Rattus norvegicus: one gene and its partners. Each later gene encodes a partner of the first gene's protein in a complex. Links are inferred from orthologs where the notes say so. Each region holds a gene or a part of one and is shown in the gene's direction. Other genes may lie near its edges. The genes, in order: Agt, Anpep and Ren.

What was found.
Region 2: the proteins of Agt (region 1) and Anpep are in contact, whole or in part, in a crystal structure (PDB 4FYS), measured with the Homo sapiens proteins. The link is inferred for Rattus norvegicus from reciprocal best matches to the Homo sapiens genes AGT and ANPEP. Residues at the interface, in NP_001369746.2 of Homo sapiens: Val27, Tyr28, Ile29, His30, Pro31, Phe32; in NP_001141.2 of Homo sapiens: Gln211, Gln213, Ala351, Gly352, Ala353, Met354, Glu355, Arg381, Val385, His388, Glu389, His392, Glu411, Glu418, Asn438, Arg442, Phe472, Tyr477, Ile864, Phe896, Ser897, Asn900, Gln903, Ala904, Arg907.
Region 3: the proteins of Agt (region 1) and Ren are in contact, whole or in part, in a crystal structure (PDB 6I3F), measured with the Homo sapiens proteins. The link is inferred for Rattus norvegicus from reciprocal best matches to the Homo sapiens genes AGT and REN. Residues at the interface, in NP_001369746.2 of Homo sapiens: Asp25, Tyr28, Ile29, His30, Pro31, Phe32, His33, Leu34, Val35, Ile36, His37, Asn38, Glu39, Lys91, Leu92, Ala95, Met96, Met99, Leu100, Phe103, Arg107, Arg148, Ala151, Ile152, Gly154, Gln353, Gln354, Asn355, Asn358, Glu391; in NP_000528.1 of Homo sapiens: Tyr81, Met82, Thr84, Gln85, Val102, Asp104, Gly106, Ser107, Asn109, Ser118, Arg119, Leu120, Tyr121, Thr122, Val125, Tyr126, Leu147, Arg148, Tyr149, Ser150, Pro181, Ala182, Leu183, Pro184, Met186, Leu187, Ala188, Glu189, Phe190, Val193.

What each region holds. Positions count from the first base shown.
Region 1 is NC_086037.1:69,428,330-69,431,974, reverse strand, and holds part of Agt (angiotensinogen precursor), read left to right. Parts: intron 1-1,902; exon of another isoform or gene 1,903-2,548; coding exon 2,549-2,816; exon of another isoform or gene 2,817-3,645. UniProt on the Homo sapiens protein: Essential component of the renin-angiotensin system (RAS), a potent regulator of blood pressure, body fluid and electrolyte homeostasis.
Region 2 is NC_086019.1:143,188,312-143,191,956, reverse strand, and holds part of Anpep (aminopeptidase N), read left to right. Parts: intron 1-123; coding exon 124-237; intron 238-331; coding exon 332-475; intron 476-624; coding exon 625-690; intron 691-774; coding exon 775-840; intron 841-2,672; coding exon 2,673-2,848; intron 2,849-3,036; coding exon 3,037-3,110; intron 3,111-3,645. UniProt on the Homo sapiens protein: Broad specificity aminopeptidase which plays a role in the final digestion of peptides generated from hydrolysis of proteins by gastric and pancreatic proteases.
Region 3 is NC_086031.1:47,354,789-47,358,433, forward strand, and holds part of Ren (renin precursor), read left to right. Parts: intron 1-602; coding exon 603-799; intron 800-2,728; coding exon 2,729-2,848; intron 2,849-3,224; coding exon 3,225-3,369; intron 3,370-3,633; coding exon 3,634-3,645. UniProt on the Homo sapiens protein: Renin is a highly specific endopeptidase, whose only known function is to generate angiotensin I from angiotensinogen in the plasma, initiating a cascade of reactions that produce an elevation of blood pressure and increased sodium retention by the kidney.

The sequences.
Region 1 (3,645 bases):
TGCGTGAGAGGGACAGAGATGACAGGTTTCTGCCTCTGTGTTACCAGTGACTCCCTGGAGGCCAAAAAAGATAACCTGACTCAAGATGGCATGGCCCTGCCCAACTGCCCTTCTGGGCTGGGTGATGCTCTTGAGGCTAGAGTGGCTGACCCACGCAGGAATACCCAGCTTACTCCCTCCCTCACACGGGGAGCTGCCGTATATCCCTGTCTGAGAAGTTGCCCATCTGTTCTATGGCCTCTTACTACTTGTAAACCAGGCAGAGGGCTCTGAGGGGCAGGAGATCCTGACCCTCCTGGTTTCTCAAGAGACGTCAGCAAGTATGGAGACACCCCCCCCCCCCGAGCAAATGCCTGGGGCAGTACTGCAGGGAACAGCACTAACTGAAGAGGAAGGGAATGAGTTGTAACAGGCTGGAGAAGGCCACAGGCAGACATCCTTGCAAAGCCTTGGGAGACCAGGTTAGGAGTGTGCAGGGGCTGGGCTCAGAGAGGGCAGACCTTGGGAGGATGCTCTTTTTCCAGTGGGCTGAGGGGGACAGTTTTATTCCTAGGACATTGGACCTTGGCCCACAACAGCATGGCAGGTGTGTGTGTGTGTGTGTGTGTGTGTGTGTGTGTGTGTGTGTGTGTATGTGCAGGGTGTGCAGTGGTCCAGGGACACCATCCTGAGAACATGTGCCAGGGCCCCAGGTCTTCAGATTGATGGTTACTAGGGGAGGGGTGACCAATGGGGCCAGCAGCAGGGAGACATCACAGTCTGGGGTAGATGTAGAAGGATCAGGGATGACTGGGCCACTCTGACAATATCTTTGCAGCCTATAAATTCATGTGGGGAAAGACCTTGGCCTGCTTTGAGACTGGGAAAGGTGTGGGGGGTAGAATGTGGACGGAAAGAGGTAACCCTGAGGCTGGTGGAGGGTGGCTACACCCATGTGAGTCGGAAAGGAACCCGGAACTGAGCCACAGTCCCTGTGGGAAACCCTGGGAGGACTATCACTGAGAAAGGAGCACTTCTACAGGGCATCAGTGTCAGTGATGGCTTGCTGTAGAGAATGCCTGTTTTCACACCCCAGACTCTGGAGCCAGCAGGGAACAGAGGAGGGCGAAGGGAAGGAGTGGAGGAGGGGGGGGGAGAGGGAGGTGAGGAGGGAGGGGGAGAGGAGTGAGAACAGGAACGGGAAGGAGGAGGAATGGGAGGAAGAAAAGCAGAGGAAGGGGAAGGAGAAGGAAAAGAGGAGGAGTGGGAAGAGGGGAAGGAGGATTGGGGGAGGGAGGGAGAGGAGGAATGGGAGGAGGAAAAGAGGAGAATGGCAGGAGGAAGGGGGAATAAGGGGAGGAGGAAGAGGAGAAAGAGGAAAGGGAGGGGGAAGTGGAGGAAGAGGAAAAAGAGGGTGGGAAAATGAAGGAAGAGGAAGAGAGGGAGAGGGAAGAAAAGAAAAAAGGAGACGAGGAAGGAAAAGAGGAGAGGTTGGGGGTGGGGCAAAAAATGAGTTGTGCCAGCACTCAGAGGCCTGGATGCTCACTTGTACTCTGTCCTGATCTCACTGCTGTTTGGCCTTTCCTGCCCATCTCCATCCGCCAGAGGCTTGTCCTCTTCCTCACACCCATGAGGCTGCAGACTGCCTCACAAACTCCAGGTCCCCTTAGCAATAGCATTGGGGACAGTTAAGCATTTGTATCTAGCGAAGCCTCAAGGCCTTGGGCTCGTGGTCTCTACAGTGTTCTTTGCCCAGTACTTGATGTCTCCAGAGCTTGAATAGCCCTGGTGGGTTCCATGACACTAAGGGACATGACCAGGGGAAGTTTACTCAGTCCATAATAGGACTGCTGAACAGGGAAGGATCCGGGGAGCATAGGGAGAACAGGAAACAGACAGCTTCACATCTCTCTCAAAGCCTTGTCCTGTTTCACATTTCTCATTTCTTTTTTCTTCATTTATTTATTATGTATAGAGTTCTGCCTGCAGGTACACTTGCACACCAGAAGGGGGCATCAGTTCCCATTACAGATGGTTGTGAACCACCATGTGGTTGCTGGGATTTGAACTCAGGACCTCTGGAAGAGCAGTCAGTGCTCCTAACCGCTGAGTCATTTCTCCAGCCCAATGCCTGGCTCTTACGAGGGACTGGGGCTGTAGGTGCAGGTCATCAGGCCTATAGAGCCAAGTTACCATGGAGCCATCTCTCCAGACCATAATAATGTCTGAGGTTCTAAAGAGTGAGTTTGCAAACCAGAACAGGTCTGGGTTGAGCTTGTCTGTTCAGGTAGGAGCAGACTGAGTCCCTCGGGTGTCCCATGTGAGACCTCAGACTCCACACCAACATGGGCTGTGTTTTTTGCTGCTCTTGGGGTCTCTGCAGGGAACTCAAGTGGCTACAATTAGAAGTAGCATCAGAGAGCACCTGAAGGTGACATCTCCAGGTCAGTACAGCATCACAGAGGGAGTAGAGGTGAGGAAGCTGAGGCAGGAGCCAGGGTGGAAGAGTCCCAGCCCTGCCTCCCCATCCTACCCCCGTTGAGTTTCCTTTGGTCTCTGTTGCTTTCAGGGAAGATGAGAGGCTTCTCCCAGCTGACTGGGCTCCATGAGTTCTGGGTGGACAACAGCACCTCAGTGTCTGTGCCCATGCTCTCGGGCACTGGCAACTTCCAGCACTGGAGTGACGCCCAGAACAACTTCTCCGTGACACGCGTGCCCCTGGGTGAGAGTGTCACCCTGCTGCTGATCCAGCCCCAGTGCGCCTCAGATCTCGACAGGGTGGAGGTCCTCGTCTTCCAGCACGACTTCCTGACTTGGATAAAGAACCCGCCTCCTCGGTAGGAAGCATGTGGGACCCTTGGGAAGTAGATTTGCATCCAATGCACGCTCACACGTCAGCCTGTCCAGGTCTGTCCTGTCACCACCCCTCCCACATCCTGCCATCGGGAGCAGTGTGGTTGCGGGTATGGCTGTTATCTGTGAGGTTACGGATACTACCTTCCTCCACGGGGAGGCAAGGACCCAACTGGGGCTGTTTTTAGGGTTAATATTTGCTGCAAGGAAGCATCGTGACCAAAATGCAAGTTGGGGAGGAAAGGGTTTATCTGGTTTACACTTCTAGATCATAGCCCATCACTGAAGGAAGACAAGACGGGAACTCAAACGGCAGGAACCTGGGAGCAGGAGCTGATGCAGAGGCCATGGAGGGGCGCTGTTCACTGACTTGTTCCTCCTGGCTTGGCCAGCCTGCTTTATTATAGAAACAGGACCACCATTCCAGGGTGGAACCACCCACTATGGGCTGGCCCCTCCCCCCATCAATCATTAATTAAGAAAATGCCCTACAGGCCTGCCTACAGCCTGATCTTAAAGGAGGCGCTCTCTTAGTTGAGACTCTAGCTTGTGTCAAGTTGACATAAAACTATCCAGCAGGGGTGGGCACTATCTCATTAGCATTTTGGTTTTTAGAGAGCATCTAGAGTTTGTGGTAATTCCCCCACCTCTGCTTCTCAAGCGCCTGGATGATAGGGTTGAGGTGCTCTGTCTGTCAGGCTAATAGCCAGTTACTCAAAAGCATCTTTGGCTTTTCCAGGGAAGGTGTTCCTCACGCAGCCGGGCTGAGAACGAAGGGCAGACAGCTGCCCACCAGCCCCGAGCTCTCCACAG
Region 2 (3,645 bases), on another chromosome or scaffold:
GCAAAGACCTTGGGATGTCAAGTCCTCACCTGGCCTGTGTCAGTACACAGCCAGTGCATGGCTATGTGCCATTAGTGACGGCAAGGCCTGTGAGGCTCAAAGGCTCGCCTGTGTCCCCTGCAGTGGTTTGGCAACCTGGTGACCGTGGATTGGTGGAATGACCTGTGGCTGAACGAGGGCTTTGCCTCCTATGTGGAATTTCTGGGTGCTGACTATGCAGAGCCCACCTGGAATCTGGTGAGACTCCATTGTGGGAGTGGGGCCGAAGTGGAAGACCGGAGTGTCTATGACACCCCTTCTGGTCTCCTGATGGTATCTGGGGACTCCACAGAAAGACCTCATAGTACTGAATGATGTGTACCGTGTGATGGCCGTGGACGCGCTCGCTTCCTCCCACCCGTTGTCCAGCCCTGCCAACGAGGTCAACACGCCAGCCCAGATCAGTGAGCTGTTTGACAGCATCACCTACAGCAAGGTGCCTCCTGGCTTCTTGGGGGCCCTGGGAGTCGTGGAGTTGGGGTGGGAAGGGATACATCCCACAGGGAGCCTCATCACAGCTGCCACTCTGGGAATGCTTCCCCTGGTAGCCAGCTTGGCCTGCTGATCTCTCTCATCCAACCCCAGGGAGCCTCAGTCCTTAGGATGTTGTCCAGCTTCCTGACAGAGGACCTGTTCAAGAAGGGCCTTTCGGTGAGTATAGCTCCAGGCAGGGCCTCTGCATGGTGGTTTCCCCCAGCATAACCCAGCCCTTACCAAGGTCTGTTATCTCCACAGTCTTACCTCCACACCTTCCAATACTCGAACACCATTTATCTGGACCTGTGGGAACACCTTCAGCAGGTAACAAGCCTTTTCCATTCAGGTCCTAAGGCCCAAAGTCCCTGGGGACAGCATGTGAGAGACTGTACCCAGCTGTTGCATTCAGTAATCCTGGCAAACTGTCGGGAGCCTCAGTGGCTCATCTATAAAATGGGTATAAAGATGGATCCATAAAGAGGGTGGGTAAGAACCCTGCTCCTAGCTCACCTTTTCCTTATTTTTTTAAAAGGGTTCTCTTCAGTTGCTTCTCCCATCTTGTTTCTGAGGCAGGGGATACCTTGTTTCTCTGCATGAACACTCCCCATCTTCCCTTAGGAGGGACTGCTGGTATTATAGATGCACGCCAAGACATCCAGCTTTTTCTTTTGTTTTGTTGAGACAAGCTCTCACTGTATAGCTCCGGCTGTTGGAACTTATCCTGTAGACCAGGCTGGCCTCGAACCCAGAGATCCGCCTGCCTCTCCCTCCTCAGCATATCCTAGCACCTGCACCACCAGAGCTGACCCACTTCGGGTTCTTGCTTAGCTGCACCGCGGTGAGCCTTGTGGGTCACTTAGCACTGAGAATATGAGCCTCAGGGCTCCTACACCAGACTACTCCTCTATCCCCTTCCTCTTCTTTCTCCTCCTCCTTTTTTGCTTTCCTCTGCCAGAACTTTGGAACCAGCCATTTAACTGACTCACCCCTCCCAGCTGCCCTGTGCCCCGTGGCCTTCCCTACCTGGCACATCCTTGCACACACCAGCACAATGGATGCAGACTCTGACCCTCTGTGCCAGCTTCCTCACATTCCAAGCCCTCCTGCCTTGCCCAGAGGCTGCTCTCTGTCCTGCCTCTCTTTCAGGCTGGAGTCCACCCTTCCCATGAGCCCCTGTCACTTTGTCTCCCCTCCCCCTCCGTGCCCTCCAGTCTTCTCTACAGACTTTGCCCACTCTTCCTCTGCCTAGCCTACCTCTCCTCCATCCTTACTCTTCCAAGAGTCCTAGGGCCTTGACATCCTGTCCAACAACTCCCTGGCTGCTCTATTGTGTCTTTCTGGGCCCCCGAGGCCATCTCACTGGGCAGGGGATGTCACAGAGTCACAACTGGGCAGGACCTAGTCTCAAGATCACGACCCCCTAACCCCACCCCTTCCCCTCCCCCTCACCCCATCTGCAGACCCAACCTCTCCACCCTGATTGGCAGTTGACTGGGTGGCGCCTTCTGGGATCCTTCCTCTACCACCTGCCTTCCTGCCCTCCACCAAAGCTTACCTCCTTCCCTTCCCCATCTACTGCCCCCCCCCACCCCGAACTTTGCTTACTGACAGCTTCTCTTCTGCCCAGCTTTCAGGGGTTCACAGCTTCAGTTACTAGCAGATGCCACTGGCTTTTTGCTGTGATTACAAAAGTACTGCCCAAGCGTTTGGAAACGATGAGATAGACCTGAGTGGACAGTAACAAGGGCTTTGGCATCCCATTCTCTTCTACCGGGGGTACTTTGCCTCCAGACCCACAGCCCTTTTCAGACCCACAGCCCTTTCCCTTGCTCCTGCCTGTGACCTCGGGCAACGTTTTGTCTCCTCTTTGTTCTTCTCATCTCTAAACATTCAGAAAGTGCCCTAGGCATGGGCCATATCTGGGGGCCACATACAGGTGTGCCAACAATGAAACTAGCTAGAAGCCAAGAGGTTCTGCAGCTCAGCTCACCCAGCTCTGGGCAGACCAGGAGAGACAGAGCTAGACAGGCTCCCTTATCCTCTGCCCCACTTCCCTGAATTAGTGACACCACACTCCTAGGCTGGCCAGAATCCGCAGAGGCTGCCTGGGTGTGGGAGGATAGTGGTTTGACAGCCACACTGTGTCCCCTGAACAGGCAGTGGACAGTCAGACAGCTATCAAACTCCCAGCCTCAGTGAGCACCATCATGGACCGATGGATTCTACAGATGGGTTTTCCTGTTATCACTGTGAACACCAGTACGGGAGAAATCTACCAGGAACACTTCCTCCTGGACCCCACTTCCAAACCTACCCGCCCCTCAGATTTTAAGTGAGCAGATAATGCCACCAGGGTCCCTGGGAAGGGTGGGACACAAGGGAGGTGAGTGTGTACGGTTAGGAGCTCAGTGACATTTGGTATCAGTGTTGGGCGGTCAGTGGGCACCTGAGAGGGGTACCTTAGGCTGGCGTGCCCAAGAGTTACCCATCATCACTCTGGGTCATGGTCTCTCACTGCAGTTACCTCTGGATTGTGCCCATTCCGTATCTCAAAAATGGAAAGGAGGATCACTACTGGCTGGAGACCGAGAAAAGTAACCTAGCCCCATCTTATCTGCTGGCTCTTGGCCCGTGTTCTTCGGGGAGTGGGGTGGGGTGGGGTTGTGGGTTTGGGGAGAGCTGAGTGAAGATTCCCTTCATTATTTCACTCAACAAATGGAGCTGTTATCTTCGTTTCCAATGGTCACCTTGCTTCTTTGTGGTCTCAGGCAAGCTACCATTCCCCTCTGGTCTTCCTGCTCCTTTGAGTGGTGAGAGAATGATAGGAGAGATTTCTAGTAAAATGCTCAGGACAGTGATTGGCAGGTACAAGGAGCTGCCTTATGGGACCAGATACTGAGGGGAGTCAGAGACAAAGGCCAGTCGCTCAGAAGCAGGTGAAGGAAGGCATGCAGTCAGAAACATCCAGGGACCCTCTAACGGTCGACGGTAGAGTCTGGCTGGGGTGACCGGAGTGCTGAGCCAGGAGCGAGGGGGTCACTTCCATGCAAAGGCCCAGAAAGTGAACTGTGTCACATGCAGGGTACCAGTGGAAACTGGCTAGGCAAGATGGATGCTGAGAGGAGGCTC
Region 3 (3,645 bases), on another chromosome or scaffold:
CAAGGCTTTACGTTAACGTACATGTGGGTGTACCTAAAGCCCAGTTTCCTTCCTAGTAACCTGTCAGACTTTGCTAGTTGAGAGCAGGCTTGGAGCATTGAAATTAGGAACCAGGGTTTTGTGGCAGGGCGATTTTGCTTTCTTTCAGTCAGTGCCTAAGCCTTCGCTGCTCTGGCGTCTCTCAGCCCTGCTGTGCCAGAGGTAGGAAGAGACACATATAGGAGCCCAGAGGAAATCAGTGCAAGCCCTTCCCTCTCCCCATGCCTGTGGAATCTGGGGGAGGGGCAGAAAGGGAAGCCCTGGTTATAGTGAGGAAATCCTCAGCCTTGGCTGGTAGGGCTAGCATGAAAGTAGGCCTCGGGGAAGGTGCAGATCACCTGTCTGGCAGGACCTCTTTCTCAGCCCTTATAGCACTAGTCACCCCCCTCTTTCTGGCCCCCAAGCATAGAGGTGTTGAGACAGTGTGTGCACATTTGGCGAGATAGTCTCACCTTCACGGCTGTACAGAACCTGTATCCCTGGGGCCCCTGGTGTGAAAGCCAGAGCAGATCCCAGCCAAGGTTGGGCAGTAACCTCTGTCCCTTATGTTTCTTCTCTCACAGGTGGGTGGAATCATTGTGACACAGACCTTTGGAGAGGTCACCGAGCTGCCCCTGATACCCTTCATGCTGGCCAAGTTTGACGGGGTTCTGGGCATGGGCTTCCCTGCTCAGGCTGTTGATGGAGTCATCCCTGTCTTCGACCACATTCTCTCCCAGAGGGTGCTAAAGGAGGAAGTGTTTTCTGTCTACTACAGCAGGTGGGCCTTTGACTTCAAGGTCAGGGCAGGGAGGGGAGGACAGCTGGGAGGACGGCAAAAGTCCAGTCCAGGATTTACATGCTCCTGATTAGGTGGTCCTCAATCCATATCTAGAACCACACTAGCCAATTAAAATGAATGCAAGTCAAACATTCGGTCCTGAGGGACTGGCCACACAGACACGGCTGGCTTCATGTCTTTGCTGGCACCTTTATCTGTCCTCTCATTGATCCGCTCTGTGCTCTGTTTCCATGCTCTGTGGTGGGCTCCAGGGGTGCACAGTCCACAAGACAATCCCTACCCTCCATCCTCATAGATCTTACTGCCCAGCAGGGGAGACGAGAAATACAGTACAGTGAGTGTCATTCTGAAGCTGCAGATGGTTTTTCAATTCTAGGCCAGGATTCTGGGCAGTTCAGCCAGCTTTGGAGAAGCTGTGGTCAGTGCCCCAGCGGGGCTGGGATCTGCTGCCACAGGCCGGGTTTAGAAAGATGGTCTGAGCTGGAGGTAAAATCATTACTGGTAAGAATAGAGGCCAGGGGTGGCGAGACTGGAAGGGAGGAGTAGACTAGAACAATCTCAGAGGAAGCAGGAATTTCTGGATCATGGCTCCGGCAGATTTCTGTGCAAAGAGAGGCATTGAGCAAATGACACCTCCCGGAGTCTCCTGCGGTCAGTGGTCTTGGGGTTGTGCTTCAAAGAGACCAGAAAAACAAAGTGGCTAAGAGTGAAAGTAGATGTCAGAAAGAGGTGTCGGGGGGTGGGGGAGCAAGTCCACAAAATGTGGACTGCTCTGGAAAATTCAACAAAGAAGGAGATGTGGGGCAGGGTGTGCGGTGAGATCCAGAGAGAAGAAGGAGGGTGTTCTAAACGCTAGAGGATGCTTGAGTAATGCTGTGGGTAGAAAAGCCATGGGAAGACTAAAATGTGGGGAGCACATGCATGGGGCTCTGGAACAGGACCACAGAAGGAATGAGGCTCCAGCACAGGTAGCAAGCAGGCCTGGTAAGCAGGGGCCCTCTTCCCTTCCCTTGGGCTGAGAAGCAGGAAGACCTAGATAAGTCACTGACTCTTGCACAGAACATGCACAACCTACCACATGTACACATGTGCACATACATGCGTGTATGTTGTGCACATACGTGTGTGTGTGTGTGTGTGTGTGTGTGTGTTTCGAATTCTAAGAAACTCCTTCATATATACACGAGTACCTTAAAAACCAGTCCGAGGCAGGCCTGGGCTGAAGTAGCATGATGCATGTGGAGAGGAAAGTGAGGGCAGTCAGCTTTGACTGAGAATGAGAGTGTGGCCCCAGCCATCGTGTGTCCACCAGGGTCTCACCATCTGGTGACTCAATTGCCTGGAGGGCAAAAATTAGCCTCTACTTCTAAACAACAGGGTTGCTGAATCTTGCCTAAGAAGAAGGTCTCCCTTCTGTGTCCCTCTTTGCCTCAGCAGAAATCTTAAGGAGAGAGGAGCCCCAATGGGGCCCCAAGCTCCACTATTTCCCAGACCCTTATCCCAGAATCATACCCACCCTCCCACACATCCACTCATCAGACCCAGCTCCACTAAAGATCTGCCTTCTTCCCTCTACACACTCTAGTCATGTCTGCCTTCTCCCCAGAGTCTGCCCCACACACCCGAGAAAGGCACAATTTACCGCCATTTGCATCTACCCAGTGTCCTTGAACTAGATGGTTTTCTGGGGGGCAGTCGGACAGTCCTAGAAATACTTCGGTTACATTAAGGGAGGGGCCAGCATGGGGAGAAGCAACAGGGTCTATGTGTCTCCTGATGACAGCTTACGACCTTGCCATCTACCCACAGAACCCTTCCTCTGCCCCAAAACCCGCCTGCACCAGACTGGACTTTCCCTCATCCCCTAGTCTCCAGTGTGTCTCTAAGCTTCGCCGCTCTTTCCTTTAGGGAGTCCCACCTGCTGGGGGGCGAAGTGGTGCTGGGAGGCAGTGACCCTCAACATTACCAGGGCAACTTTCACTACGTGAGCATCAGCAAGGCCGGCTCCTGGCAGATCACCATGAAGGGGTCAGCAGTTGTAACCCTTCCAACCATCCAAATGCATGTCACCATGTGATCGGGGCAGGATGGGGATGGGACAGGGGGGCCACCCCTTAAGGCACAGCCACCATCTGCTTTCTGTGTGCTCTGTCCAGGATCGGGGCATGAAGATTTGAGGGTGGGACTGGGATGGAAGGGACTCAGGGAAAGGAGGTGGAGTCTGGAGGCTACCGTGTTGATGGCAAGGAACAGTCAGTACCTTTCTTTAGTGCCTCAGCCCTCCTCCAGGTCACCACCAGAACACTTATATGGCCTCCCATCACTCCCTAAATTGGGAAAGGCATGCAGCCGGGGGTGAGGATGGAGGTGGGGTCTGTTGCCTGTCTAACTGTAGCCTCCACAGGGTCTCTGTGGGGCCTGCCACCTTGTTGTGTGAGGAGGGCTGTATGGCAGTGGTGGACACTGGCACATCCTATATCTCGGGCCCTACCAGCTCCCTGCAGTTGATCATGCAAGCCCTGGGAGTCAAAGAGAAGAGAGCAAATAATGTAAGAGAGCTGGGTGGCGTCAAAGGGCGGGCGGCGGTGGTGAGGGGTGGTGGCAACAGCACCATCTGGCTCCAGCCTGCAAACTGTCCAGACCACACTGGGTCCGAAACAAAGCCTTCCCCTCCTCACCTCTCCCACTCCCTGAATGTACGGTATGTCTCCCATAGAAGGTGACCAGGGACTGTGTCCAGGACTCTCAGTTACAGGGCTCTCTAGTCTGCCTAGAGCCTTCCACATTGACAACACCTCTCTTTACTCCCCCAGTACGTTGTGAAC